Drosophila melanogaster: one gene and its partner. The protein of the gene in region 1 interacts with the protein of each later gene in a pairwise test. Each region holds a gene or a part of one and is shown in the gene's direction. Other genes may lie near its edges. The genes, in order: CycB3 and Cdk1.

Evidence for each region.
Region 2: the proteins of CycB3 (region 1) and Cdk1 interact in binary tests that used the Drosophila melanogaster proteins (3 or more experiments, as listed by UniProt).

What each region holds. Positions count from the first base shown.
Region 1 is NT_033777.3:24,857,783-24,872,503, reverse strand, and holds CycB3 (cyclin B3), read left to right. Parts: upstream 1-1,687; 5' UTR 1,688-1,975; coding exon 1,976-3,703; 3' UTR 3,704-4,570; downstream 4,571-14,721. Other genes in the region: CG3744 (uncharacterized protein), read left to right, coding at 93-285, 351-552; Elal (Elastin-like), read right to left, coding at 5,978-6,492, 6,660-7,134; Srg1 (Sting-regulated gene 1), read left to right, coding at 7,798-8,226; CG7016 (uncharacterized protein), read right to left, coding at 8,435-9,523; CG13640 (uncharacterized protein), read left to right, coding at 10,373-10,771; CG13639 (uncharacterized protein), read left to right, coding at 12,184-12,393; ppk22 (pickpocket 22), read left to right, coding at 12,793-12,989, 13,054-13,260, 13,327-13,516, 13,570-13,703, 13,754-14,021, 14,075-14,303, 14,363-14,647, 14,707-14,721. UniProt on the Drosophila melanogaster protein: Cyclins are positive regulatory subunits of the cyclin-dependent kinases (CDKs), and thereby play an essential role in the control of the cell cycle, notably via their destruction during cell division.
Region 2 is NT_033779.5:10,377,256-10,389,391, reverse strand, and holds Cdk1 (Cyclin-dependent kinase 1), read left to right. Parts: upstream 1-3,129; 5' UTR 3,130-3,214; coding exon 3,215-3,363; intron 3,364-3,748; coding exon 3,749-4,252; intron 4,253-4,309; coding exon 4,310-4,550; 3' UTR 4,551-4,653; downstream 4,654-12,136. Other genes in the region: mRpS7 (mitochondrial ribosomal protein S7), read right to left, coding at 1,918-2,530, 2,605-2,648; CG5096 (uncharacterized protein), read right to left, coding at 4,765-5,196, 5,255-5,367, 5,431-5,525, 5,591-5,778, 5,846-6,385, 6,945-7,052; gny (garnysstan), read right to left, coding at 7,611-8,015, 8,070-8,229, 8,282-8,479, 8,579-9,243; dpr19 (defective proboscis extension response 19), read right to left, coding at 10,222-10,469, 10,528-10,901, 10,993-11,104, 11,171-11,381, 11,450-11,595, 12,004-12,070. UniProt on the Drosophila melanogaster protein: Plays a key role in the control of the eukaryotic cell cycle. Required for entry into S-phase and mitosis.

The sequences.
Region 1 (14,721 bases):
AATTAATGCACTATAATGGTTACTTTCAATTGAGGGAACTGGGTAAAGGTAAAGGCATTGCAATAATTTCCATATGGTTGTCATTTCAACAGGGGGCTATCTTAGCCTGATGGGCCTGGTTCAGTATCCGAAAATCTTTAAAGTGGCCATTGCCGGAGCGCCGGTCACCAACTGGGAGTATTACGATACGGGCTACACGGAACGATACATGGATATGCCGCAAAATAACGAGGCCGGTTACTCAGCCGGTTCGGTGCTCGAATACGTAAACTCTTTTCCCGAAGAGTGAGTTCTTAAGCTGGTTCTTAAATTGTCAAATTTTCGAAACATTCATGTTTTCTTTTGTTCAGGGACAAACGCCTGCTGCTCATACACGGCCTGATCGACGAGAACGTGCACTTCTGCCACACCTCGCGTCTGATCAGTGCTTTGAACAAGGCAAACAAGCCGTACGAGGTGCATCTGTTCCCCGAGGAGCGGCATTCGTTGCGTAATCTGGAATCGAATAAAAACTACGAAACTAAATTACTGTCATTCTTGCAAAACTTATGAGATTCGTAAATGTCAACAGCCGAAACAAGATCGCCTGCTTAGGCAGTAAAACTAGACCCGCCCCACGCCCTCGTCCCTTTGCAATAGTTTTTTACATCATTGTCTTTGTTTTTATTTGAATTTTTGTTGTTCGAACTATTGTTTTTATTCGATAAAGAAAATGAGAGAAAACGAAATTTGTATCATATTTTTAGCATACTTAATTTATAAACGTACGCAGTTGTAAGTATAATGGAAAGTTGAATGAATGAAAGTTTACCTGCCACCCAATATTAGACTTCAGATCAAGACCAAGCAGCTTATTGTAATTAATTTATACTTAATGTTCTACAACACACGTCATATACTCTTAACTATGTTTTAATTGTGTTTGATATCCGCAAATGTACATTTTTCCTATCAGTAATTATAAGTTGTGTTTTAGTGCGTATGTACGAGTATGAGTGACTGTATGCGTGTTTTCCACAGAAACGGAAAAAAAAAACCTTAAACTTGTCATGCCTTTGGGGCAGGCCATCAATTAATGTTAGTTCTACGCATGCATATATATATATATATATATATATATTATATATCTCTTCGATAAACCTGACGCAAGTCGTATGCATACTTGATTGAGTTCTTAGAAACCCGCGTTTGGCTGAAGCAACAAAAACTGAATTAAATTTAATATTAATTATGCCTATATATAATCATTAGTTTTACAACTGATACAAGCAAACGTATATATACATATATTTTGTTTAACATTTAAATAAACAGTTGTGTGTAAAAGCAGGTGTTTTACTTTTCTCTCTTGTTTGGATTGATGGGGATTTTTGGGCACTGTTCAATTAATTAAATAAATATATTTAAACAAATTCCTTTCTGTCAGCTGCTCGAGGCTACTTTGATGAGTTTCTTAGTTCCATAAATTTGCAATTGCATATTTAAGCAAACTGCCCAAATAGTTCAATTCACATGTTTTGAACTTCAGACATTTAAATTAGCCGCGCTCTGGAAGACTACCCCCAATGCCTACCTTCACCACAGAGGTGTATTCCAGTCGATTTCCGTTAGGCGACCGAACGCCGCGGTACGGTCACACTGCAGGCCGCATCTGCATCTGGCATCTGGCGGTGTTTTTTTGATTTTTTACTCAGTGCTCTCTATCCCTCCGGCCAAGCGCCATAACTCCACAAAACTCGATCCGGAATTATATTGTGAGTTTGTGTGAATGTCTAGGCTTGATCGAGTCGACAATATCGGCAGTAGCGAACGACTCAAGTTCTAGCCAACACAAAGACCACATTCTGCAAGGAATCCGCTAGCGAGGATCTTGCTGAAACCAAGTGGAAGTGGAGGAGACGAGGACTCCAGGCGCCGCGCACAAGAACACAAACAACAAACGACGAGTGCGCTCACACGCAAACACGCATTCAAAATGGCGCCCACAAAAGCAACAACGCGCGCGGCCATCACAAGCGGGCATCATCAGCTGCAGCAGGCAGTGAATCCCATCCTGGGAGCCCTGGGAGCTGCCACTAGGAAGGGACTGACTCGGAGGGCGGCTGCCACGGGAAACATCGATCCGAATGTGGAGAATATGCAGACGCGCGCCAAACGCAAGGCCGACCACAGTCCAATTAAAAATGACAAAATCAAGCGCTCGGCGCTGGGTAACCTGACCAACAATGTTAAGATCATGACACTGCATCCGGCACAGGATGAGGAGCAGTCGGGCGTGGGCAAAAAGCCAACGGCCCAGCAGCTGCAGGCCCTGATGGATGCTAAGAAACAGGAGAATCTCAGCGTAAATGTCTTTGGCGCCAGTAAGATGACTACGCGCGCCTCCAGTAAAGTGGAGGATTCGGTGGAGAACTGCCACAAAGTGCTCGATAAGCTGGAAGAGGCGTTGGCCAGGCCCAAACCGCGCCCCAAGGCAGTGCCTGCCGCAAAAAAGACCGTTTTGGGGGAGGTTCAGCTACCGGCCATGCCAAATCCTATGCAGATTCCCGTTTTACTGCCGCCCACGCACAATCTGGCTGCTCCCCAGGTTGCCGCCGTCAAGCCAGTTCGTCGGATCTCCAATGACTTCAACAAGACTGAGGACAGCCTGTACATGTCCGCGCTGGAGGATGTCTCCAGTTGCGACTCCATGCGGCTGTCTGGAAACTTTGAGGCGGCGCGACGTCGCTCCGCCAAGTTGCAGCAAAAGACTGAGCAGCAGCCACAGCCGCTGTTGCTGACACTCCCAGAGACTGCTCCAAGCCAGGTGGTGCCCATTCCGCCAGTGCCCGAGGAAGTAGAGGACTTCGACCGCAAGAACTGGGACGATCCCTTCCAGGTGTCCCACTACGCCATGGATATATTCAACTACCTCAAAGTGCGCGAAGCGGAATTCCCCATTGCCGACTATATGCCCAGGCAGATCCATCTGACCACCTGGATGCGCACCCTGTTGGTCGACTGGATGGTGGAGGTGCAGGAAACGTTCGAGCTGAACCACGAGACTCTGTACCTAGCGGTTAAGATCGTCGATCTGTATCTCTGCCGCGAGGTGATCAACAAAGAGAAGCTGCAACTTCTGGGCGCCGCTGCCTTCTTTATTGCCTGCAAGTACGATGAGCGACAGCCGCCGCTTATAGAGGATTTTTTGTATATCTGCGATGGTGCTTATAATCACGACGAGCTGGTGCGAATGGAGCGGGAGACGCTGCGCGTTATCAAGTACGATCTGGGCATCCCGCTCTCGTACCGTTTCCTGCGCCGCTATGCCCGATGCGCCAAGGTGCCTATGCCCACGCTGACCCTGGCTCGATACATCCTGGAATTGTCGCTCATGGATTACGCCAATATTTCGTTCAGTGACTCGCAGATGGCTTCGGCCGCACTGTTCATGGCACTGCGTATGCACGGCGGTCCGGGGCAGCTGGACAAGCAGACGTGGACATCGACGCTTATCTACTACACCGGCTATCAATTGGCGGACTTTGCTGAAATTGTGACCGCGCTCAATGCAGGACTGCATCGCAAGCCACGGGCCACCATCAAGACGATACGGAACAAGTACTCGCACAAAATATTCCACGAGGTGGCCAAGGTGCCGCTGCTGACGAACCAGGAGCTCTTCCAGGGCAACCTTGACCTGAACGAAAGCAATCTGTCGTAGGACAGCCTCAAAGTTTAGCCAAATTCAACATGATACGATACGCTTCACTTAGGCTCTAAGACGCTTCTATTCCCAATATTAGCCCCATCCCGACGAAACAGCGGATCCCCGCCTTAATCTAAAAACCCCTGATTTTACCCCTTACCTAGTGTTCCCGTCAAGTCCTCGCAATTTATTATATTTTAATTATTATTGTGACCTTCGCATTATTGACATGTTTTTTGCATAAATATTATGTTAAGAGTGCTTTTGTTTCTTTTTGCCATGTATTATTGTTTAATTTTCCCACATACCGCATACGTAGCCGAACACAATCAATCTAAACTCGAAAGGCGACATTATCTTTAGCACCCCCACCCAAAAAATCCCAAAACGATTCATGTTTTAATATGTACGTTAGTCTTAAGAGATGCCAGCATTAAATAAACCTAACTCGTAAGCCACCAAAGCAGACACGGATCCCCACTAACTTATTCTACACAGATACACAAACGCAAGGATACGAAGCGACTATGAAAGGCACGTGTGTCCCGTACAACCTGGAAATGCGCTGCGATCAACCCTCGTCCCGTGCACGCCATGTACGCCATGTGCATCTGTTCCTGTCGTCGTTATTAATGCTGTTATTTGTTAAGTCGTTCATGGACTCCCCTCCTTGCGCTCACATTCCCGCCCCTCGAAGGACGCTCACCATCAACTTCCCAGTTCCTGATCATACCGCCCCGCCCCGCCCTGCCTCAGTTCACCTCGTTTATCCATGGATGGTTGATAACGTTGCATTGTTGAAGTAACTAGTTATGTATGTACTCAGTGTTATGTATGTATCGTTTTGCGAGAGAATACCAATAAACATTTTTACGTCCGTTCAAAAATACTTCAATCTTTTTACCATCATTACATTCGGAAAACGGTGGGCGAAGTGAAAAAATTCTTACTTTTAATAGGGTAAGTGCAATAAATTCGTATTTTTATTTTTCTTTCTAGAAAACTCTTTTAAAAACCTGATGGAAGTTTCAAAATCGGGTGAGTATTAACTCAGATATAACTAGTTGAATGCAATTGTAGTATCATTAGTGTTTATGTTTACTTTAAATAAGTATTTTAAATTAGCTGTCTTTATCCAGCATGTTGGAAATGATCCTAGTTCCTAGGGGATTAAATAATTTAGGGCATTATTTTCAATTTCCTAGAATCTGGAATGTATGTATTTGTTGCAGTTCAATCTTTAATTGTTAGAAACAGAGCATAAACTCCTAGATGTCAAAGGTTAAGGGAAAACGTTTAGCACATCTAGACTTCTTTGCCGTGAGTATACCCATTACCCCACCCATTCTAATTCCTTTGTTTCGAATCCTCTCAGCTGAATCTGTGCTCCTTTCTCCGCGCTCATCATAGAACAGCTGATGGCTGATGACCTAAGGACATCAAACCCTGGCTGGAATCGGTTCGATTTGCTACAGGTAAAAACCACCGATACCGTCCGTCCAAATCATTCATAATCCATGAGTGTAAGTGTCTGTCTGTATACTCGTAGTCTGTATACCCCGGGCATGATTCTCTCGAGTTTCCTGCGGTTCCTTGCTTTTGGCGCGCTCGTCCGTCATTTTAGCGCCAAAAATTTGTTAAGGATTTGCGCGGCAGGCTGCGCATGCGCCGCAAGACATCAAGACGTCGTCCCTTGGTTGGGTTCCTTTCCTTTCCTTCGGCCCTCTCTTTTCCGCTGCACAGCGAAACCCAGCCGATTTATGTCGCTGCAGTTGGGTCCAGCGAAGGGCACCAGGAGTACCAATACCAGTAACAGCGTCTCTCTCTGACGCTGATTTTCTACCACCACCTTTGGCTCGCCCAGAGTCCTGCCTTTGTGCGTTCCCTTTTTTTCGGCTGCCTGCCAGCCAGGTAGCTCCTGTCGTCTTCGATTGTGTCCACGCCGGATAAAAGAAGCGGCATTGCCATAAGAATAAGGAAAAGAATAAGGATGGGATGTGAATGTCTTGGGTTAGCTGTCTGTATGGGAGCAGAATGCCGAGTGCATGTGCTTTATTTTTTCCGGTTCAAGGTGCAACTGGTAACTGGCCAGCATTGCTAATTATCTTGGTTGGGTGTGCAGAAATCAAGTTTATTTCGCAGGGACACACAGGATGATAGGCAAAGACAGCTGCCTCTGGCCAAGGAGGCAGCAGCGAAGTTATGACTACGACTCGGATTACTTCACGCCCCACCAACACCATTACCACTACCACCACCACCGAGGTCCACCCATGATGTCGGCCAGCTTCAGTAGGCCGGCGAGTTGAAGGCACCGTTGTATCCGCCCCCATATCCACTGCCATAGCCAAAGGCATTGTGATTGTTCAGCACTCCAAATGGTCCCTTGTGGACGCCATCCTCCTTGTACTCGGTGTTCATCGAGAAATGATGGTCCCAATGGCTCGGATCAGCGGGATTGTGAGCCGGATAGCGATGATAGTTCATGCCGCTGGTGGCAGGAGCCTGACCAGCTGCTCCGGGCACTCCTGCCACTCCAGGTGCTCCCGGAACTCCAGCTACTCCAGGAACTCCTGGTTGAGCCACAGCTCCGGGTAGCACTCCATAGGCGGGGAACTGGGCTGGTTGAGGGTACGCTGGGTACTGTGGCAAGTATACTCCGGGGTAGGGATAGCCAGGATAGGCACCAGTTCCCGGGAAGTAACCAGGTGCTCCTGCACCCACTGGCTGCTGGGGAGGAACTCCCACCGGATACTGAGCAGGAACTGCTCCAGCAACAGGATAGCCAGGAGGAGAAACAGCACCTAAAAAGGGGACATTTCATTAATATCATAATTTCATATATATTTCAAAATGTGGATTTGCTATTCACCAATCTTTTAAATTTTGTATAACTTTTTTGGGAGTTAAGACTTGATATTAGTTTTCTGATTTCACTAAGATAAATGAACCACCTATTAGAAGGACCTACCTGCACTTTGGTAACCACCGGATGATGAGGATCCTCCTGAAGAGCCTCCTGCAGCTGGGTACGGAACTGGAGCCTGTTGTCCAGGAAAACCCGGAGGCGGATAAGCGGGAATCTGGTGACCTCCTGTAATTGTGAGTGCCGGATTTGGTGACTGGTTGCCAGGAAAAACAACGGAGTTCGTACTGGCCACTCGTACGCCAGAGCCACCCTGCTCATGGCCATGGGCATCGTCGATGGATCCAGTTGCGCCCGCATAACCCGATCCCAGCTGACCAAGGCCAGGATAAAGTTGCGAATTGAGATTGGCCCGCTGGCGATGGCGACTGCTGGTAATGCCTCCCGTCAGAGTGGAGGCCAGGTTAAACTCCGTCTTCTGATCCTCCTGACTTTCGTCCCTGCTGAATTGCGAGGCCTGACCGCTGGCTATCTGGATGAGGGCCAGAGCGGCGAATGCGATGACCCTCCTGCTTAACATGGCGTCTTTGGGTACACTAAAGCCCAGAAGCTCACGGCGCGTGTATTTCATGGTGAGATCTGATGACACGAGAGCTTAGCTGAGTGTCTATTTTTGGGGTTATCATCAGGGGCTCAATGCCCAGATATGTAGTTTAAGTCTCATTGAGTGTTCTTTCTAGTAAATTGAATGAGAGAGTCTACACTGAAAGCAAAAGTTGAAAATATAACACAACAATGTGCATATGCATAGATACTAGCCATAAATTTGAACAAATAAATGAATTTTTTAAAGAAATACCCATATACAAATTTATAAATATAAATGTTATATATAAATTTCTTGCAATGTATAAATTTGCGGCCTAAAGCCAAGTAATAGATAAGTTGAGACGCATTTTTGGTTTAGGGATTTCCCAAGCAATTCATAACTCATCTTTGCATAGATGATGATCATGAGTTATGATCCTCCCTTTATATAGAGAACGAAAGCTTTCCCAGTCAACCTTGTTTACCAGTCAATAGATTAGTATTATAAGTACATATGTACATATAGCATTTGTTCCATTACCCAAGGTTCTTCCACTCGATTCCATTCATCTTTCTTATCGCCATGTGCTGCTGCTGGCTATAAAAGCCGCATGGACATTGGGACTATCAGCAAAATTGCTCTACATATCCCAAGATGCAGTTGTTGGCTGCGATTCTAGTGCTAATCCTGGCCAGCTTGGCCCACGGTAGACCCACTTTCGATAAGATTGCGGAGCTTCTGTTCGGCGACCCAAATCATTATCCGCCAGCAAGGCCAGTTGATCCACAGCTACATCCTGGACCAGGTCCACTCATCCAGGAGGGCTACGAGCAGGGCTACGACTATCACTATGGTGGAGGCTACGGCTACGGTGGTAGCCACCAGCAGACGCATCCAGGTGGCTATGCCTATTACCCACCACGACCGGTTCCGGCAGCAAATGACTACTATCCACCACCTTGGTCAGTGCGTCCTTCGCCTGGATACTACTCTCAGCCGTCTCATCCTGCCAGTGTCCATTATCCGCACAAGAATCAGGATCTTTACGGAGGTGGAGGTGGTTACAAGCAGCGGGGTTACTAACGTTCATCCGTCAGATACCCCAGTCTCATCCAATCATGTGCTGTCTCATTTGTTTATGTGTAATTTATTAAAATTTCGTTTATTTCCAACGAGCTTTTAGAACCTGTTTTGAACTTATGACAAAGACGATCTCGGGTGGAGCAATTGAACAATGGTCTACGAATATATATACAACAAGTGTGAATCGGGGAACTCCCTCTTAGAAGATTCATCTTCGTCTCACATCAATGGGAATTGAGGGAACCTCCGGGTTTGGCACATGGATATATTTGCTAGAGCTGGGGAATATAATAGCACGATTTTCGGAGAGTTCGTCCAATGGTTTTGGCAATGGCTCCGGCACGATCCAAGTGGGAAAAGTGGGCGTGGGTGGATCCGGATTATGGGGCGGCACCAACGGCGGTCGATTGGTTCCTATTATGAGCGTATCCTTCGTTGGCTGAGCGGTTGGACGTGGCTGGATCGTGGGAAAGGTGGGCTCTGGCTTAGGTGTTGTCGTTGGAAAGATGGGTCCTGGTATTGGCGTTTGTGGAGTGGTGCTAGACTCATTATCTGGATTCCAATTCGTGTTTGGATCATTGGGATCCGGCTGATCGGGGAGGCGTGGATAGTTATCCCATTCCTGTTCCATCCCTCCATTCCAGCCTGGCCTTGGTGGCGGAGGTCCTCCGCCATTCCATCCTGGCCTTGGTGGCGGTGGCCCTCCTCCATTCCAGCCTGGCATCGGTGGTGGTGGCCCGCCGCCGTTCCATCCTGGTCTTGGCGGCGGTGGTCCGCCGCCGTTAAAACCTGGTCTTGGTGGAGGTCCTCTTCCACCGCCTCCGTTCCATCCTGGACCATTCCATCCTGGTCCTTGCCCTCCACCTCCATTCCAGCCTGGTGCAAATCCTGTTTGAACCCAGTCAAATCCGGGTTGATTCTGATTTCCACCGGCTCCCCACTGCCAGCCGGGTGGCCAGCCAGGAGGCGTCGGTTGCTGACGGTTGGGTGGTGCAAATCCTGGTCTGTGCATTCCTCCTCGATTCGGACCCATCCCCGGCCTTCCTTGCTGCAGTCTCTCGAACTGCGGCTGCTGGTTGAAGCGGTTGTTGTTGTGCATGGCATTGATCAGTCCATTGATAACTCCGAAACCGGGCAGCTGGGCCACCACAGTGACGCCACCGGCGGAGGCAACAGCTCCGCCGGCGGAGGACGAGGAGACTGCAAATTGCGCGAGACACGTGCGTATCCAGATGGATGCCAAAAGCCAGACGAGCCAGGCCTGGCCAGCACACCAAGCTGGCGAAGATCGCGTCATGTTCGGGTGTTCGAGCAGTGATCACCACAAAAGGCGGACTCTAACTGAGGGGGAACTTTTACGCTCCGCCTATGCGATAATCGTTGATGCTTGATTAAACATTGAAAACCTGTCCGGCGATCAGTGAGAGCATGATGAAAATCAGTGTCCGCAACCAGAGAGATCTTAACCGCTCTCCAAAATAGGTCTCAGAGAGATGATCATAATAATAATCAGACGAAAAGTAAACAAACACCTGAAGCTTGAAAACAAAAATTGAGATACATATATAGTATGTAGTATACAGATTGAAGTATAAAAGAATAAGAGATACAGGCGATGAAAGAGATACTTCAAGTGATGAAAAATCCATAATAGAGGAATAAATGGAAGGGACTTACTAGTAGTATCCGTCCAGTCTTTACAGATCTCTGTATGTTAGTGTTATATTTTAATTAATTCAAATTCTTATTTGAAGTACACTCATACGATCTCAGCAGTGTGTATTTATATGGAAGTTTATATAATGGTTGGGGTATGAGATGTCCGTTGTATACTGACCATCTACCATCTGCGATAGCTCAGTCTTCCAGCGGATGAAGCGTGCTCCGCATGCTGATCGTGCCAATCCGCGTGCTATAATAAATCCAGCATAATGCATTAAGTCGCTTGCCCATTGGCCACGCTAATCTTCCAGAGATTCCGACTGTGTTTATGGGAATAAGAAGTCGTAAAAAAAAAGAATTGAAATGAGCTAGACCACAATGTGTCACCATCACAATGTGCCCAACTCCAATCCACAAGGGTATAAATAGAGGGAACTGCGTAGATGAACTGTCAGAACTGGAAGTGATTCGAAATCGAAGCAAGATGAGATCCCGCGATTCCCGATTGACTATCCTAACATTGCTGATTGCGTGCTGCCTGGATTCGAGTGGCGCTCTGTTCTTCAAGTCCTGGAAGACGGGAAAAGGATATACTGGATATAGTGGAGTACAAGACTATGGAGGCTACGGTCAGGGAAACTACGGCTATGGAAGCTATGCTGGAGGATATGGTTACAACTATCCCGCATATAATTCCTACTCTTACCCAGCTTACTCAGGCCACTCCTCTTACTCATACTCCAAAGGAGGACGCAAGCCTTCTGGAAACCGCAAAGGACGCACTTACTCGGACATTCGAAGAGTTATAAATCCCGATCCATACATCGGTCCTGGAGGCAGTCGCTTCCTGCCCCGTACTCCATATTCCGCCCTTTGGGGTTAACGATTCGACCGTCTGAACTCGCATTGTTGTCAGCAGTATTAGCCATTAAAATAAAATCAGCGAAAGTTACATCTAACCACAAGCTGTTAATTATTTTAAGCACTTTAAGCCCGCTACATGTGCGTACGTGTATATTAATCTACGATCAACTGATTTATGATCATCAGCCCGCATTTGCGGAGTAGTCGCGTCCAGTGGATCGCCGGAACGTGATGGTAATTGTAATGAAATGGAGGCGCGACATCGTTTCATGTGGGGATTGGGACAGTGGGGTAGTGGGTAAGGTCCCTGACTGGGATCTCACACCAAGGGATTTCTTTGGGGTAATACCTAACCATATCTGTTATGCACGACAGAATATTCTGATTCTGTATTCTCATGGCTGACAAATATTTTAATAAGCGACTAATAATTGTAGTTGATCGAACGAATCATTGACTAAATATCCCCTAAATAATGAGTTTCGCATAACTGGAAAATTGGCAAATGAATAGCTCAATTATTTTTATAGTTTTCTTATTACATCAACCTTTGTAAAGCCGTAAGTATTGCCGGAAGAAGCTTAATGCCAAAATCATTTAATAACCTGCTAAAACCTCAACAGACATAGTTGCCAGAAATTCTTCGATCCGTTAATGACCCAAGTCATCATCCGACTGGACTTATCATGGCTCACAACTGTGGTATATATAGTCTTTTAACGATCCCATCGAGGTACTTGCGCACGAGTAAGCAAGTGATTCACGCCGAGATGCAGCTGGTCAGCTAGGACTTCCCCCCGGAGCACCGACGACCGGCATTGAGGAAGTGAAACCAGAAACCAGATCGCAGTACAGGAAGGAAGACTTCGGTGCCCAAGTCAGTGGCAACTAATCGCGCCGAACATGGCAATTGTTTATGCAAGAATGTGCTAATACGCCGCCTCAGATGGCGCACCTACGTCATTACTCCAATACCCCGACAGAGTCGCTAATTACAATTTAAATACGTACGAGCGAGCACTTATGCTGAGAGGCTGGGTCGAGTTGCCTACATATGGCTAGATCATTCACAGTGCAATTAGAGTCAAGATCAGGTGTTGGATGTTCATATGTATATGCCAACTCACTGCCGATCGGATGAAATAACGGGCTGCGGTGTGAATGACTTGGCGCTGGGCACCGTGTCAGTAAATATTGAGAAAACAAAGTGATCATAAAAATCCATTTCACACAAAGAGACGAGATCTACGTGAGCGGCAAAGCAATTCTCTTGGGGGCTTCAGTCGTTTGCGAAAACCTGATTGATAAGCCAAGCGTCTGAGAACGCCAAGAACCGATCAGCCGACGATATCCATATAAATAGGCTGGTCACCGGCATCAGTGCAGTTCAGTACTGGAAGCGGAGCACTCACATATCAATTCTTGCAAGCCATGTCCGTCCAAGGAGCCATCCATTGCCTTATGGTCGCCCTGCTCCTTCTTCTGATCGTCGTGTCTGGCTCCCCGGCCCGTGGATACCATCAAACACCGAAGCGTGACGGTCGCAGCTACACGGATATCGCCCGAGTGGTCAATCCCAACCAGTACGCCTTTCCCGGATCCCGCATTTATCCTGGCCAGCCCTTCTGGCCAATGGGATAGGACTGGACTAGCATGGTTAACTTCATATAAACATACATTAAAGACTTGACTCAGCTTTAGCTAGACAATGAACTGCTACATCTTGTACAGGAAAATATTTAATAGGATTAAGCTTAAGATTAGTAACATGAACAGTGTGTCAAAGACTATTCCAATGGAATACTATGGCAATTAAAAATGTCATAAAGTACAACCTTTCTGCTTTAACTTCTAAAGTTCCCCCTAAACTAATCATAATTAACCGCATTAATGAAGGAAACGCATTAGCTAGTCACGCCTATTTCGTGATACTTTTATTCATCAATGAACACTTGTAAGCTATACAAACTCTTAGTTACCAGTCAGAGTTCAACAAACAGTAGCTCGGAAAGGATTGGAGTAAATAAAGACCTCAGAAATATGGTCAAGCTGGCATCAACATCCAATGCCATTTGGTGGATTAAGAATCCCAAGGCAGCCGGGGAACATAATTCCAAAGGTAAACGCAAGGAGTCCTTGGGCTCAGCCTTCTGCTTGGATATGGCGGATCTGGTTAGAAACATATCCCTACAGGGTTACAATAAGCTTTTGTCACCGGACTTGACCTTGGGACAAAGGTACAAAAGTTTTCCCAAATATTACTCATACGCAACGTAAGCCGGCATAGTCATATTTTAATAGATTGATTTGGTTGCTGGTACACATGGCCACCACCGTCTCCCTGATTGTGGTGCTCTCGCTAACATGGGAGCAGTTCGTGGCCCAATCCTTTGTGACCAATCTGAAGGATCCTCTTTTTCCAGTGGAGAATGTGCCATTCCCGGCTGTTTCCATCTGCCCCAACAATCGCATCTCTCGCCAGGCAGTTATCCAATATGCTGAAGAATTGTGAGGCTAAAATTATTGAAATAAATATTTGTGTACTTAAATTTTTGTTGTTATATTTATTGTTAGGAGGTTAAACAGTCCTGTAATTCGCCCAGTGGAATACTTTCTAGAGCGCCTAAGGTTCTTCCGCGAGTTCTATACACACGTTGGCGTAGTGGTGGACACCGATGACTTCATTACCTTCCAGACCTTCCTCGACGTCTTCGGCACCTGGAACAATGAGACCTTTTTCGACACTCGCCGCATAATGAAAATGGTAAGAATAGCACGGATCGAGAATATATTGAATCTTGTTTCTATTTTTCACAGTTGACCCCGCGATGCCAAGGATTCGTGCTGAAGTGCACCGTAGCCAATGTGGAAGTGCCCTGCTTCAGCAAGGATGCCTTTCAGGATAGCCTTACCATGTACGGACCCTGCTGCACCTTCAACATGGAGAACAAGTTAATGGTAGCTCTTATTATTATTTCTTTTTTAACCAAATCTTCAACAGACTAAAGAAACGGCACTTCAAGAATCGTCTAGCCAGCTCGGAACTGGGTCTGAAAGTAGTCTTGAACGACAGTCACGTGGACTACTTTGCCCCCATTCTGAACACCAATGGATACATTGTCATGATTCACAATGCTGAAAACTATGCCTCGGTTTATTCCTCCAATGTGCTCGAGATGTTTCCTGGCCAAGGAGAGGATAGCTACATTGCGGTCTGCGCGCGAGTGGTGGACACTGATGATAGCCTAAAATCATTTTCGCCGTTCAGTGTATGCTGTTCTATTTTTCAAATTCAAGACCACCTATAATATCAATCTTATAGCGCCGCTGTTATTTTGAGTACGAGGCACAGAATCCGATCCATGAGCAGCTAATGAACACGTACAGCCTTAGCTACACCTTCCCGAATTGCATAACCAGGTGCCGGATCCGGAGTATCATTGCCTTGTGCCGGTGTCTCCCCTTCCAAATGCCCCTTCAACTGGTGGAAAATCTCGATGGCGTTGTCTACTGCACCTTGGGACACGTTTCCTGTCTCAATCAGTACATATGTAAGCCAATCAGCGGCTTACGCGCACACGTTCTTCCATTTCAATATTTTCGTTTCCAGTTAAGTGGCGCAATATACTGACGGAACGGCACATTGTTAATGGCTTGGAGCGGGAAATCGAGGAGGCTCTTTATTGCCCACAATGTCTGCCCTCCTGCCGGGATGTCCAGTACGAGGTTTCAATGAGTGCCCTGCCAATCGATAACTACCTGGCCACGCTGAAGCTGGACGAGAACAACGAGACGGAGTTCGGTACAGACATCTCCGTTCTCAGGGTTTACTTCGGAGACCCCCATGCCCAATACTATATCCGACTGCTGAATAACACCTGGTTCGAAGTATTCAGTGGGTTTGGATCTACACTCTTCCTATGGCCAGTTGTATCGAATTTTTCCAATTTACAGGTACCATAGGTAACA
Region 2 (12,136 bases), on another chromosome or scaffold:
AAGTGTTGGAACCTTTCCTACCTGTAAAATAGTTTATAAATGTGTGCTAGCACAACTAAAACTGTTATATTTGGTTGGTTTAATAAAAATATGCTTCATACAAATATTTGTATTTACATATTTTTTTGGGAACCCATGTTATACCTGACCTTTCTTGTTTTATATCAGAATTCCTAGTCAAACAAATACTTAACTTCTTATGCTAACCTTACAGATAACAATAATAATTAGTTCAATTCATTAGTTTAAATGCCTAATTTTTTCCAAAGATTAAACATTAAAAATTAACAAATTGTTTAAAACTCACGGAGCCTTTTAATGCTATAATCATTAATGATATTAATCTATTTAACAAACTAACACAATACCGATTCTTGAAATGTTTCTACACCTGATTCACAACATTTTCCATGAACACATGTACATGATACTTACATTAAATATACACGTACATGGTATATGAAAACCGTGAGTTTGTTGCACGAAAATAAAACTTAAAATAACTTCCCAAACGAACAAATGCACACGCACACACACACACACAAGCACACGCACTTGGAGAATAAAGTTAATTCATACGCTCTTACACCCATTTACTCGTTTGTACATAAGTAGTTACTTTGTTTACGAGCATTCGTATATACATATACATACATACATGTGTATGTATGCAGAATCATGAAAATGGTATCCACATACATTTAAGAGGAATTAATTCGTACATAAGGCTGTATACGCACGGGTATATACACACATTCAACAAATAAACGTATGCAGATCCATGGGCAGCATAAAAAGTGTAATCGAACGGCTAGAAAACATACCCTGCACCGAAATAAAATACATTTCGTGAAAAGTACTCACCCTAATATCCACTGTTAATTCTATGTATGCAATTCCTTTTGTTGCAGCGAGTGTTGACGTTGAGCCACCAGCAGCGTATGTATTACATATACATATCTCTTTCGTATTAATACCGAGAATCCTTGTGTTTTCAACAACAGTTTGATAAGTTTACCCAACTTTTTTTTTTGTAATGTCGTCCAGTCGACTTCAACTAGTAGTACGATTATGTGTTTTGGGATTATATCAAAATGCACAGCTAAAGTAAACCGTTTTGCGATAAACTCTTCGTTTACACATTGCAAATATGCATGACACTTCTATTAACTATTTTAGTTCACTGCGCTTATGCGAATTTCAACTATAGGTAAAAAATTCTTTATTTATCATTCAGCTCGTTTTAATTTTCGTGTGCTCGGGATCGCCATCTTTGTTCTCTTCGTGCGTCATCTGTAGCGTTGCGATTCGATAAGAATCGATAGTCCCTTCGATAGACGTACACCTCGACAACCTTAACGCACTGTTTACACCGTTGTCGTTGCGCGATAAACAGGTTACATTTTTTAACTTTGCACTTGAAAAAATATGTTTTTGAGACAATCAGGATAATTTATTTGTATAAAATTGCATTTTATACTGAAATTAAATAGAAAAATTCTAAAAAGAGTAGACTCTGTTATTAAGCTGTGCTATAATTTTAAATTAAATTCAGAAGCTTAAAACACGACGAACCAGGTAAATGGGTTGAAGAAATTTATATAAAAACTTAGTATAAGTGTAATAAGAAAAACTTTGGGTTTCAATAGCTATAACACCATTTGGAAAATCCAATTTTCAAATCTACTATAAACAACGTATAAGGAAAAATAAAGAAAAAATATTAGAAATGTGTTTTTATAATGGTATCATAGCTTCATACAATTTTACTAAGGTCCTCGTTTTTAGTCCCCATAAATCCAGGAATTATTTCGATATTCCGCTCTCTTAAGACATTCCCCGGACACAAATCCTAATCATAGATATTAACAGGTATATGAAAAGTTTATTGCATTGGAAAAACAGTTTGTTGTGCATTTAGCTCCATCGGTAATGTGCGTAGGCGCGGTTGCTTTCGCACAGCCTGTGCAGATCGTCCTTTCGCTTGATGACCCTTCCCTGGCCATGGGCTGCGTCGAGAATCTCCCAGGCCAACTTTTCCGGCAGGGACACCTTACGCTCCTTCTCGCGGGCAGCTTCCAAGAGCCACTTCATGGCCAGAAAATATGACCGCTTCGTGGTGATGGGAACAGGGACTTGATAGGTGACACCACCACGTTTTATGGCGGTCACTTGAAGGAGCGGTCGGCAGTTTTCAACCGCTTGTTTCAGAAGCGTTTCGGGATTGGTGTTTATGGTTGTCTTCTCCCCTTTGGCCAGATTCATGTGCTCCGTCTGGGTTCGTTTTATTAGCTCCAGCGTCTTGGACAAAAGCGTTCTGGCCAAGGCACTGTTCCCCTTTTTCGTTATATAATTGATCATTTTATGTTTTGTATCGTCGTGAAAGATGGTATCAGACGATTTGTTGACCGCCGCCTTGATGGGCACATGGTAAAGCTTGGACAGATCATTCTTTTGCTCTAGTTGTTTATATTTTTGTACAATTGGTTCGACATAGTGTGTGGGATACACCGACATCAATCGAAGGCAGCTACAATAAACAAATGGGTGATCAGTCATTTGTGTTTTTAGAGATAAGTAACACTTTAGAGAAGTTTAACTTACCTGAGCCTTGAAGTTTTCTCTGCAATCCTACCTAAAAGCGACATGTTTACATCGTCTGCTGTGTCGGCAAAAAATAAAAAAACTATGTTATATATATGTTATGCACATTTGCGGCATGCATATAGGTGTGTCAAGATATCGACAAAGAGCTTAGTAATTTTGAAACAACAAAAATGAAGTAAAACAGTTGCGGTATTCCAATTACATTTTTTAAATTAATTTCTTTAGTACCGTACTACTGGTACTCACCTTCAAAAGATATAAAATAGAAATTAATTGCACCAAAAACTCATAAGTTAATTAATAGTATATTAGCAGAAACGTTTGTCTCCGAACTCAAACAAAGTGATGTCTTAATTAATTGAAATCACTATAAAAAAAAGCGTGGAATTTTACAGTACACTAAAATTAACTTTAAAAAAATTAACAACATTTTTAAGATACAGCAATTCAATAAGTTGCCTGAATATTGAGTTTCATTCCCACATTCCAAATGAATAAATGTAGCTAGCTTAGCATCGTTTAAACTGTCTGGTAATACTAGAGCATATACGTCAAAAACGCGCTAATTTAAAAGTCGGTGGCTTGCAAAGAAATAGCTTAATAAATTATGGAGGATTTTGAGAAAATTGAGAAGATTGGCGAGGGCACATATGGCGTGGTGTATAAGGGTCGCAACCGCCTGACGGGCCAAATTGTGGCAATGAAGAAAATCCGCTTGGAGTCCGACGACGAAGGCGTTCCATCAACCGCGATCAGGTAAAATGCCGCGGCTTGGACGCCCAAGCCTCAAAATGTTTCATGTTCTTTCGCGACTTTTCCATTCAAATGGCTTATATGCTTAATTGAAAGTATGTTCCTTGACATCTTATGGGTTGGTTTGAAGATTTTGCAATATTGTTTTTAATTTATACTGTGGAAGTCTAGCATAATTATGTTACGGCTTATGTTCATCATACATATGTGTGTGTATGTACAATCCTATATGCGTACTTATGCTCATGTGTACATCATCATACTTTCTATTTATGTTTATTAATTGGAAGCCTGCGAATACTTTCTGGTTCAACTGATAGACCAATAACTAAAATACTTTAATCACATGTTTTTTCTATAATGTAGTAATATTTAATATCCATTACAGAGAAATTTCGTTGCTTAAGGAGTTGAAACATGAAAACATTGTCTGTTTGGAGGATGTTTTGATGGAGGAGAACCGCATATACTTGATCTTTGAATTCCTATCGATGGACCTCAAGAAATACATGGATTCGCTGCCAGTTGATAAGCACATGGAGAGTGAATTGGTCCGTAGCTATTTGTACCAAATAACTAGCGCCATTCTTTTCTGCCATCGTCGGCGAGTACTTCACCGTGATCTTAAGCCGCAGAACTTACTAATCGACAAGAGTGGCCTCATAAAAGTCGCCGACTTTGGACTTGGCCGATCCTTTGGCATTCCGGTGCGCATTTATACGCACGAGATTGTTACCTTGTGGTACAGAGCGCCGGAGGTGCTACTGGGTTCACCCCGGTATTCCTGTCCCGTCGATATCTGGTCCATTGGATGCATATTCGCGGAGATGGCAACGAGAAAGCCGCTATTCCAGGGTGACTCGGAAATTGACCAGTTGTTTAGAATGTTTAGGTAACCACAGGTAATTTACTTTCTATTCCCTGTGATACTCACACTCATTGATTGCAGAATTCTGAAAACACCTACCGAAGACATTTGGCCGGGCGTTACTTCGCTACCCGACTATAAGAACACGTTCCCCTGCTGGTCCACGAACCAATTGACCAATCAGTTAAAGAATCTCGATGCGAATGGTATTGATCTCATACAAAAGATGTTAATCTACGATCCAGTTCATCGCATTTCCGCCAAGGACATTTTGGAGCATCCCTATTTCAATGGTTTTCAATCGGGCTTAGTTCGAAATTAACGTTCGGTATTCTCGTTTGACTTTAACTAAGAATTTTAAAACAAGAGATCTTGGTATCTAATCTAAAGCAAAATAGCCGTAAATAAAACTAAGGGTGTAAAACAATCAACGTTTACTTAATTTATGTAAGTGTATTTACAGATTTACGCCAAATTACCAGCGCTCTAACAGAATAATAAGGCTTCAAGGCTTTAATTATTATACAAAAAGAAAGTTAAATATGGAAATCCTCGTTGAAACTAGTCCTATTATAGAGAGCACTGCTAGCACCGCTGTCATGACGTCTAAAGACGCCAAAGCAGCCGCGCCTCTTCATCACGTAAGCACCAATGATGGTCGGCACCGCGATGAGCAGGACAACCAAGAGTCCAACCCATATAAGACTGCCCGTCGAACTTTCTATCATATGTTCATTCGCCACTCTGAGCAGCGTAACATCGTTTAACTTGTTCGGACCGCCACATTTGACATCTTTGGCCAGAACGGGCGTGGTCTTGTTGATTCGATCTATCAAGACGTTGATCAAGAAGTCATTGGATTCGTCGCAATTCCACGGGTTGAATCTAAGATCCAGAGCCTTAAGTTTATCCCAGCGCACTAGTAGTTCTTTCGGCAAAGTCGACACGTTGCAATTATTCAAGTAAACCTAAAAGTTTATGTTATTTAGTTGATTAAAGCTCTACATGCTTTTGCACTTGAATTACCTTTTCCAATGGCGGGTAGTCCAAGTACTGGCCACCAGTTACGTTCTTGGATAGAGCCTCCTCATCAATTTCATTTAGCAGTTTGTTGTCGGACAATATCAGTTCAGTTAAACCTAAAGAAAGATGGTTGTTCGATTAAGCCATTAGCCATTAGTGCGCGCAGGTTCACAACTTACTTTGCAGTTCACTAAATGCTCCTGGCCCAATTTTGTACAACTTGGACATAAAAGTCATGCTGAGGTGGGTCAATTTGGTCAAAGGTGGAAATACACTGAAAAAATTAATAAATATATTGTTTTGCGCATACACTTAAACGAATCCTAGAATGACTCTTACTTGTCGCCAATCAAATTTTCGATGGGATTTTCGTTTAAGACCAGGCTGGTCAAGTTCGTCGCATATTTCAGGGCCTTTGGCAATTGATTAAACAGATTGCCAGCTGCTATAAAGATCTCAAGATCTCGGGGACCATGTAGAATTGTATCCGGCAAGTCATCGATTTCCATATAAGAGACATCCAAGATCTAAAACGAACAACATAAACGAGCTTTTGAGTTCGTAGAATTATAAAAACATATGAATTTCGCATACCTTCAACGATTGTAAGCCGGAAATGGCTGTTTCTGAAAGTTGATCGATGACATGAAAACTATTTGAGCAGAGAACGAGTTCCTCAATGTGGGGAATGTGTTCAAACAGATCCGCATCCAAGCTATGCAGATCGTTGTATCCCAAGTTAAGAGTCTTTAGATTTTCCAATGACTCAAAATCTTGGACAGTGAAGGGTCCTTTAAAAACATCCGGTACCAGAACTTTCGAAGTCAATCGGTTATGCGACAAATCGAGTGTGACTAGTTCGGTTAAATTCTGAAAAGCTCCCACGGAAATTGAATCGATTTGGTTGTTAGCCAAGTACAAGTTCTCCACATCGTATTTCGGCAGAATTGGCACGCTGGTCAGATTGTTGTGCTCCAGATTGATTGTTTTGAACACAACATTGCCGTTGGTCAGATCCTCCCAGTCCTCGGCGGACAACCAATCCTGCAGTTTTTCGGAGCAATCCAGCAAATTGGTGTCGATATAGCAATTGCACTTCTTACACAATTTGCTATCAATTACTTTGATTTTTTCCTGCAAGTAGTGTGTATTATATAGCGAACTAAATAACTAATGATTACCATATAGTTAAATGTTTCTTGGACATAGCTTTGCCATGTCTTAATATGTCGGTTTCGTTAATTTTTAGATGGTTAATTTTACCTTCGACAAACATAGAAATTAAATTAAATTTTATTGCGATTTTTAAACAACTTATTTATATTACACACTGTTCTCATTTTTTTTTAAATTTTTTGTGTGGTGAATTTTTCGGTCTTTCTTTGAGTCATCTTTATCGATTTAGCTTTGCAAGACTTTTTCTTATCACGAATTTGATAGTGATACATATAATTTAGTCATTCTATTACTTTCACAAATATTTAACACAATTTAACATAATCTGTTCACTAATTTACAGCAGTATGCACATATCTTTTTAGTTAAGTTGCACAAATGATATTTGAAATCTAACTATATGTATCAATTCCATTGGTAATGTAATCGGCTTTATTATTCAGTTTACAATTGCATTCGTAATACGCACACCCACACCAATTTCAGAAAATTAAAAATTAAACACTTTATGTGGTACCTTTGGCGTCTCGGTTGTGGTGGTTTCATCTTTCGTCTGCCCAGAAACTTGGCTCAAAACGATACAAAAAATCGCAGCAGCTAACGTAGCTGATTTTGTTAAATTCATAGTTCTCAAAATTCTTTTGCCAACTAAAATTGAACTATAGGCGTGTTCACCGATCGATTAACTGTACATAACTAACAAGAGCACAATGAACAAAACCCCACATATTATTCACCTAATATTTCACGAGTTATCTTATCTTATCTCTTCAAAAGCATTGATACACTATCCAACAAAATAGTCGCTTTTGTGGGTCATTCGACTTTCGAAATGCGTTAAAATTAAATTCAATAAGATTAAAACCAAAATTCACATATTTTAAGCAAGTGAATCTTTTTACAATATTAATTCTGAATTATTTTGGTTTATATCCACACTAGTACCCTTTGTGCATAGTGTAGACACTATACGCTGATTAAATCCATGATAAGATACGGGAAAAGGGCTATAAGAGTATTGGAAGTGACTAAGCCATTTATACCCAAATACCTTATTTCACCTTGAATTAACTGCTTAAATTAAACATAATTGGCACAAAATAAAACAAGACTCGATAAAGGGCTTACAAACATTTCTTTGGCTTATGTTGTAGATATTGTTATGGAATGCTTATCTTAGAAACTAACTTAACTTGCTGCTAAATTGTTGAACATTTCCCCACAAGAAAAACAAGAAGAAGTGTCCACAGCTTGTAACCGAAATAATAAGGGGCCAAAGATCTGGATACTTTGTAGGTGCCGGAACGGTCAGAGAAGCAACCACAACACTGATCATCAGAATCTGCGATATATTTGCAATGTACTTCAGTGGATATTCGTTGCTGAGCTTCGACTTTGAATCAAAACATTTGAATATCAAATGAAAAGCCACAGTGGCCACTACGGCGGGCACCAACAATTCATCTCTTGCTAGAAGAGGCAACATGCTGAATACGGTAACTTCCAGAAATAAAATCATTTCGTCGGGCCAGCACTTAAGTAGGAAAAGTGCTGGTAAAGCAGTCAGCAAAATGGTCTTCTCGTGCACCTAAAAATATATAAGTTTTAATACAAAACTCGCTTTAAAGTTCAATGTTTTTACTTGAAATGAAAACAAGAAGAATGCCAGGCTCGTGTTGAAAAGCGCTAATAGAAATCCGACATTAGTTCGCCTTCGAAAGAGTAGTACATTTGTTGGCAAAGATGCAATTAACGTGCATGCAATGCACACAAGGGCCATTTGGTCATTGCTGATATGCTTCCTACAATTTGTTACATTACAAAATTGTATCCAACTTGATTCTACTTTCTTACTTTAGTTTCCAAACTACGTTGACGGCACACCAAACATTGGCCACCTTGTCCTCAAAAACTCCTCGGGCGACAGGAAACAGGCGATGGAGTACTTGAAGTACGGCCTGCAGAGATCCCAACCAAGGAACCCATAAAATAGCAAATGTTCCTAAGACAACGGCTGCTATCCGTGAGATTTCAGCGATAAAAGAAGCAAAGCTGTGGTTGAAAAGATTAAGATGAGTTTAGATTTAGTATCGAGGATTCTTTAGCTGTCTTGCTATTAAAAAAAAGTCGTTTTGAATCGCAAGTACCCACCTTTTTTGGCTTACACATTCACCCAGAAGGAACGCAAAGAACGGCAAGCTGTGATACAGCTCCATTTGCTTATAATTAAGGGCTAAAGTGAAGAAAAATGCAGCCGCGTAGAATCTTCTTCGCAAGATTGCGGCAATTGCCACGGCGGCAAAGCCCAGTGATATATTATTATACTGAAAGTGTCCATTGTCGATGAGTGTTTGTCCGGGATACGCGGCCACCAGCGTGAATAGGAACAATTTATCATCGCTTCGAAAGGCTTTATCTAGGGAATAGGCCAGCAACAACATTGCCGGCAAATAGATGAGCACGTCAGCAGAAACAACTGTTGCGCGCATGAAGCGTTTGTGCTCCTTCGACTCGAATCCCCTGCTCTTGTGCAGCTCGACGAAGCGGGGGTCAATGGATGCTCCTATGCGACCCACCAAATAGCTGTGGTAGGCCGTCAGAGGCGGATAATCCAGGCCCCAGTACTGAAGATCGTTGTTGGAGCTGTTTGTGTACCATTCCCCCACTGCCAGATTGACCGTGATCTCTTGCCAGTGGCGCTGGGCCTCGTAGTCGCCATGCATCGGCGGGGAATCGAAGCCGGAGTAGGAGTACAGCGAGATAATCGACCTAACCGCCAGGCCCAAAAAGGCGCTTGCCAAAATTTCGGATCTCATCTTTTTGTTTTGCCAACATTTTTCAGCGATGGTAGTTCAGCTATGTAGAATTATCGATAACTTGTGTCAAATACAACGACAAGCTAAGATTGCACCTCACGGAACTGCGGTATATGAAACAGAAATCGGAAGGGGGTCTTACATTTGAAAATGAGTTCAAAAATATTCATAACATTTTCGTATTCATTTTTTAAATGTGTACCACCCAACTGAAGAGCAAATAACTTAACCAGAAGCGGGTTTCTTAAAATTGATCTGTTTATTTAAAACGTTCTTATGTCGGCAACAAAATTTAAAAGTCGTTTTGCACTCCGTATTCGAGGGTAAACAAAACGAAACTGGCACTTCTGCCCATTTTGGATTGAAGACAGCGCTTTTGAAAACGCTCACGGAAGTAATATTTATTTACAGTTGTACATACAGTATATGAATTAGCATACTTCTAAAGGTGCTTACATAAATCAATCTATATACTAAATATCGAACACTGAGCAGAATAACAGTTTAAAGGTGACGATCAAATTTTCCGAGTTATTAGGTAACAAATCTGTATGGCTTTATCATTATCATTTTACGCTAATTCCATTGTTTGTAACATTAAAATGTCAGTACCAGTACCAGTCAATAAATATGAACATCTAAGCATACATTATATCTTACGTACCACTATGAACCATCAAAATATGCGGTTTTCAATCCCCCATGACTTATTGGCATAGGTATGCATTTTATAAGTTTTGTGGTAACAAGTTCGTGAATTCTCATCTTATTTCTCAATTCAATACATTGCATGTAATGGAAGTCTATTTACAGTTTATTCTTAGATTACTTTAAATGTCTTACCATGCCCACGCCGGCATCTCAATATGGTATGTCAATGATCTATTTACAATCTTCTATTTTAAAACAAATATTCTCAAATATAATATCCTCGAATGATTGAAGTTGCTCCATTCCAAATACCATCGATTATAAGTTTCAGCTATGCATAGTGACTATTATAAATGCTACGAATACCTTGTGAGTTGCCGCCAACGAGAATCGATCGAATACCACCGCGCCCATCAGCAGGAACAGCCCAGAGAAGTAGAGGATTCCCCCGGCCAGAGTTACGCCGCTAGTTCCATTCAGTCCACCCAATGTGATCAATCCGAAGGTGCCGTTGCCGTTGGTCTCCGTATCCAAAATGCTCCGATTGGCGTGCTGCATGGCCGCCGTTTTCTCACCTATTATAATTACAATGAGTATGACATATATTTAAATATCGACCGGCGGCGGTCTTACCCCTTAGAACATGCACTGTAATGCTGGCAGGACGGGCATTTGATGGAGCACATGTATAGTTGCCGGCATGACGGAAATTGACTTGCTTCACAGTAAGCACACTGACCGAGGGATTCAGGAGATAGGCGGATTGATGCTGTTGCGTCATATAGGGCGTGGAGGAGGGCACATTGGCGGCCGGTGCCTTGATAGCATCCGAGCTGCCCAGCAGGCTGTTGAGCACCCCATTGCTGGACTCCATGGGCATGGTGGCGCGCGATTTGTTCGCCGGCGAGCTACGGTAAAACTGGCCACTCTGCGGATTGCTTTGCCCAATCGATGTCACAACGAAGCCGCCTTGTGAGTCGTAATTGATCATTTTACTATCATGGTACCTAAATTGAAGAAATTGCATTCGGTTAAGTTGGGTCTTATGTTTAGAATAATATAAAATTTTACAAATCTAACTCATATTATTTTTCATACCAAAAAACAAATGCAGGATTCTCGGTAGCTCGCTTCAGTTTGCATTCGAGTCGCAGAGTAGAAGTCTCATCAATATGCAATTCCGGTGCACTAGAAATCTCAGCTACCGCTTCTATACAACGAAAAGATTCAATACCCGTTAAGCTTTGAACTTTGTAAGGCAGCTGCGTCCACTTACCGACAATCTTTAATTCTATAACTATTGACTGAGTTGGATAAATAGACAATTGACACTCGTAAAAACCGCGATCTTCCTCCCGAACTGCCTTAATTCTCAGGGACCAGTGGCCCATGTGCCGCGTGTGCTCCACCAAGAATCGCTTGTCACTACTGTGGGTGGATAGGCCCACTGTCAGGAGCTGGAAGTCCTTTCTACGTATCCAGGAAACCTGAAATGTTGCAAAAGGTCTAAGTATTAGAATCGATGTATAAATTTTAAGAAAAACATATATCTCACCGTGGCTGGGGAGTTAACTTTGACCACACAGGGCAGAATGGCAAGTCCTCCCTTTTGTGCAATAACTCGAGTGTTGTTCTTCGTATTAAATTGACTTTGTAAGGTGTTACCAAAATGATTTTGAGACGAAGTGATCTTCCCGACATCTGAAATGGTTGTTCAATGAATATTAAACAAAATCTCTTAATATAAATGTGTCAAAAATCACATGAAATGAATGAATCCAAAGTGATTTGCGGTGAAATGTTAAAAAAAAAAAACTTAAAAATGTAAAATGTAAAAATGAAACTTAAAAATGTATCTTTTATCTATGCCTTCATAGCTTTCGTTTTCATAGCTTTCGTTTTATTTTTAATTACTTTTGCATAGAAATAAAATTTTTCGTTCACTAATTTCTCTTGGTATTTAATATTTTTTTTTATTTACCTTCAAAAGCAATCAAAATAAAGTAAAAACGCAATCGAAGGTTTTCGCTTCCAATTTATAGCATACAACTTAGCGCAAAAGTGATAAAAATCGTTTAACGATTCATAAAGTTGGCGACCTTTGCTTACCAGAAAAAGTTGAACTAAGGAGTAGCAAAAAACATGATAAATGCAAGTGCCATCTTTTCGGTTCCATTATTTCCGAATTCGAGGCTCCGCGGATCGTATACTTTTCTAATTCAACTTTATACCCGCAGCAACA